3 linked regions of the Arabidopsis thaliana genome follow. The main gene of each other region encodes a partner of the protein of the gene in region 2 in a complex. Each region holds a gene or a part of one and is shown on either strand. Other genes may lie near its edges.

Evidence for each region.
Region 1: CO (region 2) and AT1G72390 share a complex: the UniProt entries of both Arabidopsis thaliana proteins name them as parts of the red light-dependent nuclear complex.
Region 3: CO (region 2) and PHYB share a complex: the UniProt entries of both Arabidopsis thaliana proteins name them as parts of the red light-dependent nuclear complex.

The regions. Positions count from the first base shown.
Region 1 is NC_003070.9:27,243,467-27,251,122, forward strand, and holds the start of AT1G72390 (nuclear receptor coactivator), read left to right. Parts: upstream 1-1,615; 5' UTR 1,616-1,860; intron 1,861-1,947; exon of another isoform or gene 1,948-1,958; 5' UTR 1,959-1,988; coding exon 1,989-2,102; intron 2,103-2,194; coding exon 2,195-2,264; intron 2,265-2,351; coding exon 2,352-2,416; intron 2,417-2,517; coding exon 2,518-2,595; intron 2,596-2,828; coding exon 2,829-2,909; intron 2,910-3,232; coding exon 3,233-3,370; intron 3,371-3,456; coding exon 3,457-3,555; intron 3,556-3,644; coding exon 3,645-4,999; intron 5,000-5,249; coding exon 5,250-5,467; intron 5,468-5,546; coding exon 5,547-5,695; intron 5,696-6,056; coding exon 6,057-6,095; intron 6,096-6,180; coding exon 6,181-7,656. Other genes in the region: P40 (40s ribosomal protein SA), read right to left, coding at 1-48, 153-350, 430-692, 1,232-1,376. UniProt on the Arabidopsis thaliana protein: Triggers photoperiod-monitored flowering by repressing PHYB-dependent flowering negative regulation, probably through physical interactions with PHYB and CO.
Region 2 is NC_003076.8:5,169,658-5,174,708, reverse strand, and holds CO (B-box type zinc finger protein with CCT domain-containing protein), read left to right. Parts: upstream 1-1,623; 5' UTR 1,624-2,011; coding exon 2,012-2,773; coding exon of another isoform or gene 2,774-2,914; exon of another isoform or gene 2,915-3,006; coding exon 3,007-3,366; coding exon of another isoform or gene 3,367-3,371; 3' UTR 3,372-3,660; coding exon of another isoform or gene 3,661-3,698; 3' UTR 3,699-3,805; coding exon of another isoform or gene 3,806-3,815; 3' UTR 3,816-4,547; downstream 4,548-5,051. Other genes in the region: AT5G15843 (uncharacterized protein), read right to left, coding at 2,327-2,480, 2,798-2,914, 3,013-3,371, 3,661-3,698, 3,806-3,815. UniProt on the Arabidopsis thaliana protein: Transcription factor that acts in the long day flowering pathway and may mediate between the circadian clock and the control of flowering.
Region 3 is NC_003071.7:8,138,103-8,145,002, reverse strand, and holds PHYB (phytochrome B), read right to left. Parts: upstream 5,241-6,900; 5' UTR 4,925-5,240; coding exon 2,761-4,924; intron 2,673-2,760; coding exon 1,865-2,672; intron 1,775-1,864; coding exon 1,484-1,774; coding exon of another isoform or gene 1,354-1,483; exon of another isoform or gene 1,108-1,353; coding exon 852-1,107; 3' UTR 542-851; downstream 1-541. Other genes in the region: XTH21 (xyloglucan endotransglucosylase/hydrolase 21), read right to left, coding at 1-56. UniProt on the Arabidopsis thaliana protein: Regulatory photoreceptor which exists in two forms that are reversibly interconvertible by light: the Pr form that absorbs maximally in the red region of the spectrum and the Pfr form that absorbs maximally in the far-red region.

The DNA.
Region 1 (7,656 bases), on a different chromosome or scaffold from region 2:
ATCCTCTGGCTTAGTCTCCTCAGGTTCCCTGTAAAAGAACAGGTCAACCTGCACAACACCATACCATATGAAAAATTCAGTCAATAAACAGGGAAAGTTTTTAATGAACAGATGCCTTTCTAATCTAAGAGCTCCAAGAATGATATTCTTACCATGACATCCCACTTCTGTCCAGCAGCAATGGTTCCACGCATCTGAAGGACCATGCGAGCCAGAAGCCAGAAAAGGCACCCAATGCTGTGCTTTCCCTTGTTGTTGGCTGGGATACCAATGTCAACAAATCTCATTGGAGAGTCTGTGTCACAGAAAGCAATGATTGGAATGTTTCCCAAAGCACCTTCCTTGATAGGCTGCAACACACACAAGACATTTATCAATAACAAAAATCATTAATCAATCACTAGTATATGAATCATATGAAGAGTTTACCTGGTGGTCAGTTCTTGGGTCAGTAAGAATCAACAGCCTTGGTTCACTGAAGGATGTCTGCATCTGATTGGTGAAGGTACCAGGAGTGTGTCTTCCAGCAATGGCATTGGCTCCAGTGTACTGAGCAAACTTCAACACAGCTCTCTGTCCATAGGGCCTAGCTGACTGGACGATGATGTCCTGTGGGTTCTCAATGGCAACAATAACTCTAGCAGCCATCTGGAGCTTTTCCCATGTTTTGCCAAGGTTGAAGATGTAAATACCTGAGAATGACGAAAACTTCAAAAACTAAGTTCCATACTCACCACTTACAATTGTAAATTACAATAAAAGAGCAACAATAACACACACTAGCACAAATACAATCTCAAACATCAGTCAAAACTAAAATCTCAATTTTTTTTTTTTTACAAACACACAGAGAGAGATAGAAATGAAACTTGAGCCTTTGATCATTTGTTCATACATTTCTGTAAACAAGAACACTAGAGAAGACACAGAAACAAAAGCCTTTTCTTAGATACGAACGCAGAGAAGTGAGCGTGCTGACAAAAACGGCTAGTTGCAACATTTTATCTTTTCTCAGTCAGCGACATATTTAGATCCGTCGTGAGTAAAATCTACTCTCGATACAATAAAACAACCTATAAATCCAAAAACCATCTAAAACAAAGCAGCATAAACCAAATAAACAGATCATCAACATTTATACAAATCCGAAATATCAACACAGAATCTCAACACTATAACCATCAACATACATACATACAGATAGTTTATCAAAAAATATACGAGAAATTACCATCGTTGCGTCTCTTGAAGACGTAACGCTCCATCTGGTAATTGCAATTCTTGGTTCCAAGATGAACCTCAGCGGCACACATCATCCTGACATCAGCTTCCTTCTGAGAGAGCTGCGCTGAGCTAGCAGATCCATTAGTCGCCATTTTCTTATCTCTCTTCTTCTTCTTCGCCGGGAACTAATCGCCGCGATAAGCTTTTTTCACTCAGTAAATCACACGAAGAGGCGACGAAAGGCTTATAAGGGTGAAGGATTTTATATATCAAGCAAAACCCTAATTTGCAAAATGTCTATTCTACCCCCAAACTCGGTTACCCAAATTTTAATCGAAGCTAACCAAAATTAATAACTGGTTCAACTTCCGTTTTGTCTTAAACCGAAATCCAAGTGTGCACAGAGACACAAAAGATAATTTCTTTTTCTGCTACTTTGAAGTTAGAAGAAGAACCCTAACAATAATCTCTCTTCCTTTCTCTTCCGATCGCATCTTCTTCAAAAATTTCCCACCTGTGTTTCACAAATTCCATGTTTATGAATTCTTCATTGCTCTATTCTTAGTCACCTTTGATTTCTCTCGCTTTCTATCCGATCCAATTGTTTGATGATCTTCTCTGTAACAAGCTCATAAGGTTTCAATTTCTCTAGCTTTCTTAAAATTCATTCTTCGATTTCTTCAATTCTCGTGTCTTTTTTATTTCTGTATCGTTTATTGACAGTACCTAGACAGGTTTGAGCTTCATCTCTCTGGAGAGAATCCATGGGTGTCTCGTTTAAGATATCGAAGGTTGGTAGAAAGTTTCGACCTAAGATTTCTACTGAATTGGCTACTCCTGATTCCCCAAAAGCAATCGTTCTATCTGGGAAACCAAAGGTAATTTAACTTAGAATTTTAGTTGTATTGTGTTCCAACTAAATTCGCTTATTTTGGAAAGTTATATAGAAAATTTATTACGTTTGGTTCAGGCCACTGATGATAGCAATATTGGCGATGTTTCCGGGTTTTCGAAGCCATCTTTACCCGATATATCTCCAGGTTTGGATCTCAACGAACCACTTTGACACATAATGTTTTGCTAAATTCTAGCTATGTTGAATTGAGTGCATTTTGGTTTCTCTGCAGATCATGAAGTTTCCTTCATATTGAGCCTCTATCCAAATGGGTACTCTATAGGAAAAACCTCTGAGGTATGTACTGAGAGTCTATATGAATTTATTTATCTTGTGATTTCTTGTATTTGAGTTTTAAAACCTTCACGTTTTCACAAATTTGAGTTTTTGAATACCAGGCTATGCAACAGATATCGTTTCGAGATGTTCCAAAGGTCTTACATCCGTATGATAGGGCAGCAGAGGGTCTCCTTTCGGTAAATCTTTCGAACTATGTTATTATAGACTTGATTTGAACATGTAATCAAAGTTTTGGTGAATGAATTCAAAGTACTTAGATTTAGTAAATGTGAAGATGATGTTTTTTTTCCCCACTTGTTCTACCCGAATAATGCATTTCACTGCACTACTTACTCGCGTTTTGTTAAATACACTTTCTGAGTTTCATTCTACTGAGTAAATGTTTTTAATCCCTTTGTACGCTTTATAGGCTATTGAGGCTGGCAGGCTTCCTGGGGACATTTTGGAAGATATACCTTGCAAATTTGTGGATGGGGTGGTTATATGTGAGGTGAGTTATCTGCAATTATTTTTTGGGATAAAGCCTTCCATAAGTTCTTGGAAACAGTCCAAACGTATATAAATATATTTAAAAAGAGCTCAACAGAAATTATCTACACTTAATCAAGATTAAAAAAATGTCGTAATTATAAGTACATGGAAGTTTATCTTCCAAACTCAATTGTACATGTATTTGATTGTTTCTGAAACATAATGGAGTAACTGGGACCAGAAGTAAACATAAAAAACCTAGTTATACTAATTTTTAATTGACTGCTGTGTACCATCTTACATCATCATGTTTTCTTTAATTTTTGGCACATACTATTGTAGGTGCATGACTATCGGAAACATACCTCATCTCAAGTCTCTCCTGTGATAAATAAATTGCGCCTTAAGATGTCACTCGAGAATGTGGTAAAAGATATTCCATCAATGTCAGACAACTCATGGACGTACGGTGATCTCATGGTAATCATGGTAGCTCGTGGCTTATAGGTCGTATATCTGAGCACTGAAACTATTATCTTCTGTACTGATCCTTACATCAACTGCAGGAAGTGGAGTCCAGGATATTAAAAGCCTTACAACCTGAACTCTGTCTGGATCCTTTACCCAGACTTGATAGGCTGAGTAAAAATCCTTTGACTGCTAAGGTAATATCTCATTAAAAAGACTCCTTGTGCTTTCTGTTCTCAGTTGTTTATTATAGTGTCTAAAATGTTTTTTTTTCTCTACTCGATAGCTCGATTTGTCGCTTTCTACTTTGCGGAGAAAGAGATTAAGGCAAATGGCAGAAGTGACAGTCATGTCTCAGAATAAGATTCAGGGGAAAAAGGTGTGCATTGATCGGCTTCCTGAAAGTTCAGAGCGAGGAAATTTGCCAGGGCATTTGATAATGCAGCAAACCAATAACAACCAGGCTATTCAAAACCTTGGTACTAATATGCTGGCGGGATTAAGAAGTCAGCCGTTGCAAGATGCACCAAATTCCTCTCTGGCCTTGGTACCACCTCAGCAACAAAGGTACATGGGAATTGGAAGTACAAGAAACACGCAGGATCAAGGATCAAATTCTGTCAGTGTCTCTGGCGCTTCGCCTGGTGGACTAGATGCGATGCTGCCTTATGGCTCTGATAGTATGAACCCTGGTACATCTTTTCATAGAAAGAGAGAAAGTCAAGAAGGACAAATGTCTTCTATGCCTGGCTTGAATAAGCGAACAAGGGTTTCACATATGGGTCCTGATGGGGTTCCGCAGCAACAGTTAGGGCAACGTATGGATGGCCTTCATGGATCCGATACAAATTGGAAAAATACGCTTCTACAACACCAAGACATGCTAGGCAGAAGTATTCAGTATCCAAATACAAGTATTCAGAGGTTTTCACCACACCAAATGGAAGGGGTTATGAATCAGGAAGGTGGTCCCATGCAATTTCCAGCTTCACAACAGGGGGGAATGAAATACACTTCAAAAGAGGAGCCATTTGAGACTGGTAAAATTGATGGCGGCACCAGAAACAATATTCCGGGGGTGGGAAGTGATGCAAATGATTTAGATCCACGTATTCAGTCAAGGATGCCCCATAATGCATTCATTAGATCAAATTTCCCTCAAACATCCTGGAATGTTAATCCTGGCCAGCAGATTGAAAAAGAGCCGAAAAAAGAAGAACAATTTAGTCGTAGGATATCGGCTCAAAGTCCTCGTTTGTCGGCAGGTGGTCCACCGCAGTCCCCACTTTCATCGAAGTCTGGTGAGTTTTCTGGTGGTTCAATGGGGACCCACTATGGAGCAGTTGCAGCAGCTCAGAAGGACAAGGCTGTTACTTCTATTCCTGCTATTGGTGCTACTCAGTCAGTGGGTTCTAGTGCTAATGAAGCTATGCAGCAAAGGCAACACCAAGCCCAAATGGCTGCAAAACGGAGAACAAATTCTCTTCCTAAGACGCAAGTTATTAGCACTGTTGGTTCTCCTGTTAGTGTCAATACTATTAGTGTCCCAGTTAATGCAAGGAGCCCTTCAGTGGGACCCCAAACTTTGGGCGATCACGCAATCTTGGACAGATTTTCAAAGATTGAACGAGTTGCTGCTAGGTATGAATGTTATGAAACCTGGTTTGTTGATTTTATTCCCTTCAAATTCTTTTTTATGATCTTTACTTTCACTTATGTGATACTTCTCCTGTTTTGATTCTGGCTTTACGCTAGAGCATTGCTGGCATTGTCTTATTCTCCTTATATCATTGCATTTATATAAATAAATAATGTTTGTTGGTGCATGAACAAGTTCTATATTTCATAGATTTTATTTTTTGGTTGATCCAGTTTCTTGTTCCATTTTTAGGTACCAACTAAACTGCAAAAAGCATAAGGTGGATGAGTACTCTCGAAGACCTCGCGTGTATGCTAAACAGCCCCTTACTGTTTGTTTATCAAACCTGTCTAACGAAGAGGTCTTCAAAGACGAGGACGAAGCATTATCAAAATCTATATTTGGTGGCAGTATGAATACATACAAGACCAGAGTCATTCACTTTGGTCAGATGGAACGTGTAATGCAAGGTCTGTTTTTCTTTTAACTAGATATCTGGCTATTGGTATATTTCTTTATGTGATTGACCAGACTCCAGTATCTTTTCAGGTTCGGTCCCTTCCTTCATCCCTAGAAACCGAACAAGACTGGTGATGTCAGAGAAGGCCGTCGATGGGACAGTAGCATGGTATCAAGGGGACGTAGATGAAGGGGATGTTTTTCAGGCTGAAGATTTTCTCTTAGCGTTGCCCAATACAGTAAGTTCACAGGAAATTTGATAGTTATCATACTCCCCTGCATTCTTTTTTGATCAGCAATATATCTTCAACTTGCATGCACTACCATTCAATGTAATGTTGATTTTACATTTAGTGATGTTTATAGGTTGTCGGGTCATGTTCTTGGGGTTTATGTCTCTGTTGTGAATGTTTTGTGTAATTATGAATATGGTTGGTTGGTCTATGGATACTTCTCTCTTGTTAGTTGCTTATGCTCGTTTATCCTTCTTGTCCAATGCGATCAAAAGGGAATGGACAATGGATTATTAATTTTTCTCTTATGTACGCCACTTATTTTCTGGAAGCTATGCTGACTTGCTTATTCCTCACTTTGTCACAGCACATCGCCGATCTACTTGCTACTCAATTTAAATCACTGGTATTTCTCGAGTTCTGAATCAATTATTTCATGTTCCTGGTTCTATGGTAAAGCTACTTAAAGATTGATTTATATGCTTATGCAGATGGCCCGTGAAGGATACATGATTGAAGAACATATTATGGCAAAGCCAAACCGTGGGGATACTGGCCCAATCAGCAGCCATCCAAATTCTGCGGGTGGTTATCCAAGAGGTTATTCTGCAAACGATATGCAACAGTATGGAGATGCAGTTGCAGGGCAAGCGTCTGGTGAGGCATCAAAACATGGGAATACTGGAAATACGCCGAATAACTCAACCCAGAATATTCTTGCAAATGCAAGGATGGTTCCTCCAACAAATTCTCAAGCCTTGCAAATGTCTCAAGGACTGCTGTCTGGTGTCTCCATGCCTATGCAACCACAACAGCTTGACCCACAACAGTCAGCGCTACTGTCATCACATTCACAGCAGAAAAATCAACAGTCAATGTTTACACAGCAACAGCATCCACAAATGCAGAGACCTTCCATGATACTGCCTACAAATCCACTATCAGCCATCAACTCGATGAGCCAGAGCTCTGGTATGCAGCCGGGTGGTCAGATGGCCAACAAGTATTCGCCTCTCCAACTGCAGATGTTACAGCAGCAGCAGCAGGCGGCAGTGCAGAAGAAGATAATGATGGGGCTAGGATCAGGTGTAGGCATGGGTATGGGTATGGGCATGGGTATGGGTATGGGAAGCATGGGAAATAGTATTGCTGGGCTTGGAGCTTTAGGCAACCAATTGAATATGGCAGGAAGAGGTATGGGGGGAACCGGAATCTCATCGTCAATGTCTGTTCCTGGCATCGGTAATATGGGCCAGAACCCAATGAATCTGAATCCAGCATCAAATTTGAATGCTATAAGCCAGCAACTCCGATCTGGTGCATTAACACCACAACAAAACGCTCTGTTTACACAGATTAGGATGGGCATGGCAAACCGAGGAGGTGTAATGGGTGCTCCTCAAACCGGGATAAGTGGCGTGTCAGGTACTAGGCAGATGCACCCCAGCTCAGCTGGTCTTTCCATGTTGGATCAGAACAGAGCTAATCTGCAGCGAGCTGCTGCTATGGGTAACATGGGCCCACCCAAGCTGATGCCTGGAATGATGAATCTTTACATGAATCAACAACAACAGCAGCAGCAACTCCAGCAGCAACCCCAACAACAACAGTTGCAGCATCAGCAACAGTTACAGCAGCCTATGTCTCAGCCATCTCAGCAGCTAGCTCAGTCTCCGCAGCAGCAGCAGCAGCTACAACAACATGAACAGCCTCAACAAGCACAGCAGCAGCAGCAGGCAACAGCATCCCCTCTTCAGTCTGTACTATCACCACCCCAAGTAGGGTCACCATCAGCTGGAATTACCCAACAGCAGCTACAACAGTCCAGTCCCCAGCAAATGAGTCAGAGAACTCCAATGAGTCCCCAGCAAGTGAACCAAAGAACTCCTATGAGTCCTCAGATAAGCTCGGGTGCAATGCATCCCATGAGCACAAGCAACCTCGAGGGTTGTCCAGCGAGTCCACAG
Region 2 (5,051 bases):
AACTTTGAGGATATTGTTACATATGATCTATTACTCGTAACAGTTATCCGAAGGCCTACACATGTGAGAGAAGTTCCAAACCGCTACAACAATAAACTTAATTAGAGACTGTCAACGAGCAATAATAAGCAAAACTACTTTTTTCTTGAGCTACAAGTGAAAAGGCCAATACACAATTTACTCTTCATGAACTCGAACCACGTTACAATCTCCAAAAAATTTCATCACCAAAGCACTAAAAGCCAAAGATGCCTCAACTTATCCAACTTGGCAGGATAAAGATCTCCAAAAATGCTTACTAAAGAACCTAGAATCTTTTCTTTAGAATTCAATGATCATATAACCATTTCATAACAATTCTAAATGCCATTACATTCATCGTAAAACCAGTAAATAACAAGAACTTGTATGTTAAGTTCCAATTACCAAGCAAAAAAAAACTTTTCAAAGTTTAAAGTTCAAAATGGGAAAGAGAAGTGCGGTGTAAGCAAATATGAAAGAGGAAGAGATGCGAAAAGTGTATCCTAGGACCAGCATTTTATACAAAAAAAAAACACTCACTTTTCAGCTCTTAAGGCATAGAGTGAAGGTAGCCATATGAATTTGGCCACTAGAGCGTCCGTCAAATCTCATTCTTTTTGGACCACATAATGGGTATCATACATTCACTGGACCCAAAAGCGTAACTGGAGCTAGTCCTCAAACCTAGAGAGTATCGTATCCTGTAGCTTCCACATAGTAAACATTATGAGCATAACACCAACAAGGCAACTCCAAGTACTAATGGTTATTAGTACAGGAAAACCCACGATGCTAAACACATGAATGGGTCACCAAATAGAGTGAAGATGGTTAAATTGCATCTATGGATCATGTGGACTAGTAAATGAGTGTAGCAGAAAACTTCACAATTACCTCTGTGATCTTAGAAACATGTCCTGAAAATTCCATACAAGTGTCGTTTGTATTAGATTACTTCCACAGGTTGAGATCTAATAAAGCTACAATAAATAGTATAGAGTATCATCATAAACCCAAATTACAGAGATGTGACAACACTCATGAGTCATGTTTTGTAACTACTTACTATAATGGTTACCAAGTGCAAATTTCTACATACTATATATGATAAATCTAATTATTGCTCATGTGGACTCCAAAATGCCTTTTAAGTTTTAACTTGTGCGTCAGGTAAATTCTAATTTGTAGTCTCAAGACTACTTGGCGGATTCGAGTTTGATCCTAGAAAATCCACCGTCTCTATGTTTTTCATGTCACTTTTCCGATATGATTCTCATTACCATGACTTTATGAACCAGATTAAACATTATAACACTTTTCATCAGAAAATCCTTCGAAAGTTTCAATTGCAAATCTTTCTAAATGATGCAGATGCATTCACAAATAATGGAACAACAACTATACCATATTCACGAGTTTGTCTAACCTTTGTATAGGTAGTCAACCCATAACAGTTGGTGATGGCTCTGACACTCGAAGCCTTACTCGGAGAGATACCTGAACAGTAATCACAAGGTTCAGGATGAATATTCAACCACTTAAACTTTGTATAAAGCCAAAGAGATAAAACGAATCTAGCTTTACTTTAAATAAAATGCATATGAAAATAGTAAAAGGTGATACGAAAAAATAGTAACAATTTGCCTGCAACACCATGGCATTATCCGGACCACTTCCTCTTGAGAATCTCAGTATGGCAAGTGGCAAAACCTAAGCAACTTGTGAACGGGTCCCAACGAAGAAGTGCATAGGAGGAGATGTTTACACTTTACACTTTACACTTTACACTTTACACATAGGCCTTCCCAAAAGCTCAACTAGCTGCAAGAGGATCCAATAACATGTAAGAGCCACTAACGCTGTGCCACGTGTAGGCACTCAGGATTCGATCTCCCCTCTACTTATTCTCTCACACCAGATATAAGCTTTATTAGCCCCTTCTTTCAGATACCAGCTCCCACACCATCAAACTTACTACATCTGAGTTATTATGTTGAAACAAGAGAGTAACGACATAGGTAGTGGAGAGAACAACAGGGCACGACCCTGTGACACATGCCGGTCAAACGCCTGCACCGTGTATTGCCATGCAGATTCTGCCTACTTGTGCATGAGCTGTGATGCTCAAGTTCACTCTGCCAATCGCGTTGCTTCCCGCCATAAACGTGTCCGGGTCTGCGAGTCATGTGAGCGTGCTCCGGCTGCTTTTTTGTGTGAGGCAGATGATGCCTCTCTATGCACAGCCTGTGATTCAGAGGTTCATTCTGCAAACCCACTTGCTAGACGCCATCAGCGAGTTCCAATTCTACCAATTTCTGGAAACTCTTTCAGCTCCATGACCACTACTCACCACCAAAGCGAGAAAACAATGACCGATCCAGAGAAGAGACTGGTGGTGGATCAAGAGGAAGGTGAAGAAGGTGATAAGGATGCCAAGGAGGTTGCTTCGTGGCTGTTCCCTAATTCAGACAAAAATAACAATAACCAAAACAATGGGTTATTGTTTAGTGATGAGTATCTAAACCTTGTGGATTACAACTCGAGTATGGACTACAAATTCACAGGTGAATACAGTCAACACCAACAAAACTGCAGCGTACCACAGACGAGCTACGGGGGAGATAGAGTTGTTCCGCTTAAACTTGAAGAATCAAGGGGCCACCAGTGCCATAACCAACAGAATTTTCAGTTCAATATCAAATATGGCTCCTCAGGGACTCACTACAACGACAATGGTTCCATTAACCATAACGTAAGGCTTTTGTATATTTGTTACCCCTTCAATTTAGCATCTTCCCATAACGCAGCAGGGTGAATTCTTTCATCATACACACAAATCCACTGATCCACTGCCAACAGTTGATCTATAGCACATAGAAATTTCACCAGAAGTCTATAATAAAAACAATATATGCTTCCTTTTGCATCGACTCTCTTTAGTCCTCTTACCAGGGGGATTGAGAATGTCTTTGTTTCTGTCATTAGGCATACATTTCATCCATGGAAACTGGTGTTGTGCCGGAGTCAACAGCATGTGTCACAACAGCTTCACACCCAAGAACGCCCAAAGGGACAGTAGAGCAACAACCTGACCCTGCAAGCCAGATGATAACAGTAACACAACTCAGTCCAATGGACAGAGAAGCCAGGGTCCTGAGATACAGAGAGAAGAGGAAGACAAGGAAATTTGAGAAGACAATAAGGTATGCTTCGAGGAAGGCATATGCAGAGATAAGACCGCGGGTCAATGGCCGGTTCGCAAAGAGAGAAATCGAAGCCGAGGAGCAAGGGTTCAACACGATGCTAATGTACAACACAGGATATGGGATTGTTCCTTCATTCTGATACTCCTGTGGCAAAAAGAAAAACTAGATTGCAAGCTGTAAATTACTTTTAGTTTGAGATTATGTTAGGTTTGGTGAAATTCTTAGCTTCAAGAAGTATTACTACTGTTGTGCAAATGGGTTTGTAGTTTTGGCTAATTAAAACTATAGTATTCTTCTTTCTCTGCATTAGTTAAACAAAACCAGTCTAATTGGTACAGATCCCCATTTGTGAAATATGGATCATCAAGAAGTGAAAACGCAGATTTCACCTTGCTAACTACTAAGAGGGAAGCCAAGGTTCAAAGCCAATAACTTCCCGATAACCTGAACATGTGACACTTTCACGCCTCCCTGACAACAAAAAGATTCTACAATTCAAGTTGATAACACAGACTCCTCAGCTGTAAATCACAACTTCTTACTAAAATGAGTCATATCACGTTCCTAATTGTAGAAACCATCAGCCATATATGTTCTCGGCTTCAAGAACTGTAAGAAGAAATAAGTAATAACAACCAAGTGTATAGCTTATACTATGTGTTAATGTTAAGTGATGGATTCGAGACCTCACGTGAAAAGTTCATAAAGTGATATAAGGATGCTGCACTTTGCACTTTTTTGCACTTTTCCAAAAATCTAAGGATAGTTCAGATCGATTCTCAAAGCCATCAAATTTTAAAACCATTCCCAAACTTTACATGGTCCCTGGGCCTTCATAGATTCTCACTCTTTTAACTTCTTGCTTACAAAAAAAAAACCATTCTCCTTAATCTGAAGTAGGAAAAAGTCTGCAACTACAGCATGAGTTTGACAGAAAAATTATAACACTCTGCTTTCTAAGGTTCTTATCTTGCTTCAATGACCATATACTAAAATAGCAATTTCCTCCACATAATCCACAAAAAACTTTGGTGTCATGTGAAGAAGGCCTGAGAGTAGTTCCTAACTAACCAATAACCATTACAAAGGAAATCCACAGACTGACTAAGAAGAAGTAAAGACAGAACAAATGAAAAATGCCAAAACAGAACAACACAAGCACAGCTATATCTGAACACGCCTTAAAACACCATTTAATATATAATCATCTCTATACTTACCAGAGAGTCAGAAACCAGTATAAACCCTAACATTTATACAAATCGGAATCAGTCACCATCAAAATATAAACCCTAACATTCATTCAAACTGATTTTCGATAAAGAAACTTACTTTCAACCCGTCACAATAGATTTGGGATGATTTTGGATAAATTTGAGGAAAAATATGCGAAATTCAATAGATTGAATATGCAAGGGTTTAAGGATGTGAAATTCAATAGATTGAAAAAACACAATTTTTTGCTCAATTAGATCCAAATTCATCCCAGATCGATTTTGTCTGACGAGCTGAGATTAAAGGAGTTTACCAGAAAACCCCAAATCGGGATTGTGAAGTGAAAAGCCCTAAATTTTGAGCGACGATCGATCATCAAACTTCGAAATATTCAACAATGACGCACGCAACTGGTCTTGTCTAATACTAACGGGCTGGGCCAAAGGATCTGATATAAGGCCCAATTATTCTTGCGCGATAAACTTCTGTTTCAGGGGACGGCCCAAGTAGTCTTCCGAACTAAGCTTATCTTCTTTCAGGAAGTTTCCTTTTTTGTTGTTGCATGATCATTTTCTATCTTTATCTTATCAAAAGATAATAATCTTATCA
Region 3 (6,900 bases), on a different chromosome or scaffold from region 2:
ATGCTTAAACCAAGAAAGAGAGATATTGACATAACCAAAAGTGTACTAGAAACCATTATAAGTTTTGAAGGTTTTAGGTGGGTTTAAGGGTTTGAATTGGGTTTGAGACATTTAGAAGGCTATTGATTGGTGAGTATTTATAGAGCATATATAATGGAGTTTTGATTCCTTAATGATTAGTTATATATTGTTAATATTTCAGTCTTTGAGCTTTACTTTAATTTTCTTTAAGAAAAAAGGTGAGTTTAGTGTGGGTAATGTGAAAAACGAAACAGCCTGGAGAGCATACACATCAAAACTATAGTGCGATACATCATAAACATTAAATTAACTATTGTTAATGTGTTACATCCTAAGCTTAGCCAGCCTAATTTAAACATCTCACTTTTTATATATATAGTGGAGTTTGTAAAATTTCAACTTTTTGGACGGTACCATTTCATCATAAATCTTTTAAAATTAATGTGATTGGCCTTTACCTCTTGATTGCGTAGACAGACTAATTGGATATAATATGATTTATAAATGGTTAACAATCAAATAATAATTTTGAATTGATGTAACGAGTAACAAATTAAAAGGATTGGTCATCGATTAATATGCTCTCTTCTTATCTCATTGTTTTGTTTCTCTCGGAGTTGTCAATTTACACAGCACAAACAAAAGTCTTGAAATTCTCTACAACTACTGTTACGTTTTTTTTCCGGCGAGCTGAGCTGAACGCAAATAATCTCCCTCTTCTCTACTAATCTCACCGGAAACAAAAAAAAAACTTTCTATCCTCCTCCGACGTCGTTAGACACACAAACACTCATACAATGATACAAACTCTCATACCAACTGAAGTGTGACTAATATGGCATCATCAGCATCATGTCACCACTTCCACTAGCAGTTGACAATGGTCGCTTTCGAGGTACAGGGAGTTCCAGAATGATGAGGAAATAGGACCGTTCTGATTCTCGGATGTATTGAACCTCACCGTTCATTAGCTTTAAAATCTTTCGACATACGCTTAGACCTAAACCTTCAGGGCTTGTCCACCTGCTGCTATGGAACATGTCTCGGACTAGCTCTGGAGGCAGACCTTCACCTGGACACGCCATTCTGCAAACAACGAATAAAGACATAACAAAGACACCAACACATGAAACCCAAGTTTTACACTTTTGAGCTGGTTTTCATCAATTTGAAAACATTACATTCCTTGACTGCTAATTCTAGGCCTATGGATGTGTCTAAAAGTTCCCAAGTCGACTAAACCGAATACAAAAATCAAACTAATCTAGGTTCCAACTAAACAATAACCAAAACAAATAGTGAATTGGTTAAAACCTCAAATTCTTTAAACGCCTAAATCAAATTCGTAATTAACCAAACCAAATTCATTTTCTTTATGTACAAAATAAGGAACCAAAAAAACCGGATTGCATAATTTTGGTTATGGATATGTGGAGACAACAGCGGGAACAATGAAATGTACCTGAATTCTGTGCGGATGGCGGCGAATCCATCAGCCATTTGCTTTGAAAGTTGGCTTAAATGGATCTCCACCCACTCTTGAGATGGTGCATACCGGATTATACTCAGCAGAAACTCAGCCAGGAGCTGTTGAATCCTTATCTGGTCTCCAAAAACCTCTATTGATTTGATCTCTTCGGGAATGTCACGGATCAGCTGAAGACCTCTGTCCCTTAATAAGAACATCGCTTGACTTACAATCGCGTTTATGACACTTCCAAGGAAAAACTCTTCCCTCTTTAGCACAAATGAACTGATCAATGAAAAAAACAAAATTTGGGATTTGGTCACATTTTGTGAAGTAAGCAAAACTAGCTTCTAGATAAATTCTAACTATACTCACCCGTCTTCAATGCTTTCAAGATCCATGTCCCCGACGATCCTTGAGATCTGTTTCTCGCAAGAAACACTTGTTTCAAGTAACTGCTTCTGGTCCTCGTTCAAGTCTGTGGCCTCCAACAATGAGTTTGCGAAACGCATACCGCTCAAAGGATTCTTTATCACCTGACAAATATAAGCCAACTCTTTTGCCTTCGTGAAACACTCTGTGTCCTGCCTCCGTTGGACTGCTAAAGCTTGCTGCAGCTCAGGGCTCGGGATTTGCAAGAAACAGAAAGCCCCAATAACCTTTCCCTCGAGGCTAACCCGCTTGTTTGCAGTCAATAGAGCCTGAACAAACTTCCCATTGCGGTCAAAGAATGGGAAAGGGAACTTATCCGTATCTTGGCCACCAATCGCATTATGCAATACAATCATGAACTTGGTTAAAGCATCAGGACCCTTTAGCATGCAACAGCTCCCAAACACTTCCCCGACAATCATTTTCCCAATCACTTCACTGCGAGACCAACCCGTAAGCTTTTCCATCGCCATGTTCCATTCCAGGCAGCACGTGTTCTCGTCAGCAGCAAAAATTGGCGGGATTAGAGGGTTTGGGCTATGTACAATAGCCTTGTAATCTCCTTGTATGTTGATGAACTTATCCATTACGATTTTCTGACTAGTAACGTCTTGTCCAACAAAACAAACGCCGACAATGTTGTTCAAGTAGTCCTTGCTGGAACAAGCATTCACAACCACAAAAACTGCTTTCCCTTGTAGTTCGGGGCTGAAAGTTTTCAGCTTAACCTCCACATTCTTTTCCTCGTCCCCTGCATTGCCAAATGCAACAAAATAATCAAATACCCGCGAATTGGTATATACACCGCAGATACAACATAGCTGAAGAACTGAATATACCTCTCAAAGCACGAGAAAGAAGCTTATTGACAGTTGCTTCATTCTCTTTGTATATTAAATCAGAAACCAGAGACTTCCCCATAGCTTCTTCAACTGAGAGACCTGTCAACTCTGCAATCTTAGCGTTCCATCCATTGATGCAGCCTCCGGCATCCACAGCGAATATAGGAACAGTTGCAGTCTCAATGAGCCTAACCATCTCTCTTGCAACTGCACCTAACTCATCAATCCCCTGTTCCCCCGCCATATCCCTACATGGCTGAACCACACCATCCACAACTTTAGAGTTCATAGCCGCCTCAGATTCTTTAAAAGAGTCTCTCAGAATAAGCTGGAGCGAGTGAATCGCATCCATTTCCGCAGTTTCCCATGGCTGACTCCGGCTCTTAACAACTTCAAGAAAAGCCTGAAAGGACGAACGAGGATGCATTCGTTGCCCATCATCTTTATCCTCCGGATGATGCTTAGCGCCTCCCCATTTGATTTCTTTCGCAGTGTGAGATCGAAACCAAAAAAGAAAGTCTCTTTTTGTGATATATGCAACTGCCATACCGCACACAGCATCCCCTAACGCAGCTGCACCGGGATACCCCGCATCGCCTAAACTATCAGTGCTTAATCCGGTTGAATCCGCATGATTCGCAAGCAACCACTCCACAACATCTTTTATCTGAACTTCACTAGGAGCAACACCCAACGGGTAATACTTCCCGTGGTAAAGAAATGCTGCACCGTCACATTTCACTAAGTCCATGATACTGGGACTCTGTGTAACAATTCCAGCAGGCGAGTCACGCAGAAGCATATCACATAACAGTGTCTGCGTTCTCAAAACGCGTTTCTCTGACATTTGCAAAGCTAACTGCAATTCCATGTTTAACTGTAAACCGAAAGCCTGCATCAAAAACTCACAAGCATACCTTAGCGGAAACGGTATGCAGCGAGAAGAAGTGTGATGGCAAACAACCAAACCCCAAAGCCTCATCGAGCTTCTTCCACTAGCTACATTGCTCCCATCATCTTCATTTCCATTGATTATAACCGCCATTGCTAAAGACGCAATAGATCCCATGTTAGCCATATACTGAGAGTGACAACCATGAGGAGCCCTAAGAGTAGAACCAACCAAGCACATAGACTGAGTTAGCCTATCGTCCTGGACCACAAGAACAGGTGTGGCATTGCAATCTACTATCATTCGGACACGGTTCTGCTTAAACAAGAACCTTGACGCTTGAGGAATATCAGTAGCAGGATAATGCAGTCCAATATAAGGCTCTAAATCATCTCGTTTACTCTCAGCTACAACTTCTCCATGCTCATCTTCATGAAACTTATAAACCATAACACGATCATAACCAGTCAAGTCCCTCACACTTTCCACGACAGTGTCACACAAAAGCTTAATATCTCCACCAGGAAGAGCCTGTAACTGAGAAATCGCACGAACCGCGAGTTTCTGCGATTGAACAGCACCAGCAATAGAAAGCGCAGGATCTTCAGTTCTAGCTGGCTCTAAATCAATAACAACACCAACATCAATCCTATGAAGAATGGCGTAAAACGGTTTACCAGTATTCTTGGAATGGATCCAAACCGGATTTAACAAGGTAATCTCTCGAGCAACGAAAGCACGCTCGAGTAGAATCGAGCTCGAAGAAGTGAACAAAGATCTCACATCAGTTCCCATAGCTAGAATCTCAGGTTTCTCAAGAGTAGGAACAGATTGAGGCATAATCCCTAACATTTCTCTGGCGTTTTCACTGTAACCGATGATCCGGAAACTGGATTCATCGACGGCGATCATACATCCGAAAGGCTGAATGTAACCACCTCGCTGGATTCGAGAGAGATAAGCTGTGATCTGTTGCTCAGGTACAGAGGAACCGTACGTCGTCGTTTTGAGTGATTGTGAGTAGTCGAATGATTTCCCTGATTCGCCGGATTGTTCGAAAACGGCGTGGAGTCTTGCGTCGACGGTGTACTGTTGAATTGCTTTGCTCATTGATTCAGTGTTGCTTCTTGGTCTGAGAGATTTCGTTCCCGACGATTGAGCTTGTTCTCCTCCTCTTCGGTTATTAGGAGTGTGACTTGACGACGGTTCTTCTTCTCCGCCACGGCCACCGCCACGGCCACCGCCACTACCCCCGACTCCGGAAACCATGCCGTTTGATTTTGAATTTGAGAAATTTCTCAGAATTACCTTGAGACAAGGAAGGATTTAGGGTGAATCATCATCCACTAGTTATCGGAGACGAATTCTGGTAGAGCTAAATTCTCAAGAATTTTGAACTTGAGGAAGAAGAAAATGGGGAGAATTGAGATCGGAGATAAGTGGAGAAACCAATAAAATAAATTGAAGAAGACGAAGCAAAATGTGTGCCTCTCAGATAGAGAGAGATAACAAAAAAAAATCAGAGTTTTTTTTTTTTTTGTCGTCTTCGCTTTTTGTTTCCTCATATATTTTCTGCGACTTTTTTTGTGTGGCGATTTTAGCAAATTACCTTTAAAGTTTTGATATTTATCAATTTAACCCAGAAGAGCTTTTGTTTTGTCGTTTAATGTGAGGGAGAGATTGATTGGGCCCAAGATCACGTGGGCTAATGGTTTATTCTCTCTAGTGGCCACACGTGGTTGCTGGGCCCATTGCGCGTGGGAGGGAGCCCCTGGACTTGTCGAATCGCATCATCAATTACGATTTCGAATTCGTACTATACAAGTTTGGTTTCTTCAATATCTTATCGTGGGTCAAGTCAACCAAGTGGTGTCCTCTCTATACAAATATTGAAATGTTTTATACTCTCATCGTACGTATATACTTCTCATAATTTGTACTAGATAGAATATAGAATCACATATTGGTCTCAAAGGGGTTCGAAGTAGTATTAGCACGCTCCATGCGGAATAGAATCATAAATTTTGCATAGTAAACTCGTCTAATACATAAGATATATTTTGGTCCACTTTGATATATACGTTGGATCTATATCATTACATTTTGTATAATACATGCATTGTACTACTTAGCATTACGTTTTATTGAATATATGCAATTCTTTTTTGACATATTAATGATTCTAAATTTGGATTATTTGGTGAAAGCATACAATTATGGTGCTTCGAAAAAAGAACATAAAATAAATTAAAGTAATGATAAAGAGGAAAAAAAGAGAGCAGAAAAACATATAAATGAGAAAAATCGTGTGCATGAAAAGTTAAGGGTCCATTACATAAATGATTTTGGGCCGCTCACAGTTTCATGTTAAGTCACTGCGTTCGTCCTTTTCTTTTGTTGAATGACTAATTTCTCCATCTCGTGTTGTTTGTTTTCAAAGCTCTATCATAATAAGTTAAGTATAACCGACCACTTTTTCTTTTTAACACTATTACATATATAAACATCCATGTTACCATGTATGAAGACAAAAACGATTATCTTATATACCCATAAAATATTATGGACCAAAAGTGAATAGTGAAAAGAAAACAGAAAAAAATTGGAATGACAAAAGAAAAACACACTATTCGTTGACAAAACAAAAGTTTAAATGTTTATTAGTGAGTAATGACCTCATATGTTTTGGTCTTATCTTGGACGAGATATGATTGGATGTCCACGAATTTAATCATGTACCTGTTCGCACTAGAGTGTACTAGTTCGTTGGCTAAGAATCGTCCACGTACAATAGTTTTAAACCACCAGTAATTTACCACGTGCCACTGAAATCAAATTAGCTAATAAACTACTCAATTACCAAATCACCCTTATAAACTCTCAATGATTCTTTAGGCTTGGCTGCTAATTTCTTAAAACTTTTGCATAACTTTTGCATAAATAAGAATAAGACAAAAGATGAAATTAATATAAGGGTACAATCGTAATTCAAGAATTTCCAAAATTCGTTCTTTAGTATAACGAAGAACTAGCTAGACATTATTAGGCATTGGGGCATACTTTAAAGCCCAAAACTAAGCCCTCCCATACTAATAAATCAGGAGCCCAAATTGGAAAAAACGACTTTAATAGCCTTTGGGTAATACTTTAAAGCCCAAGCCCAATTTAGAAACATCTAACATTTCTGAAGTGTTCGTTCTCTCATAATCTCTGAAGAAATCAGAGTAAAAGGTAAAGTAAAATTT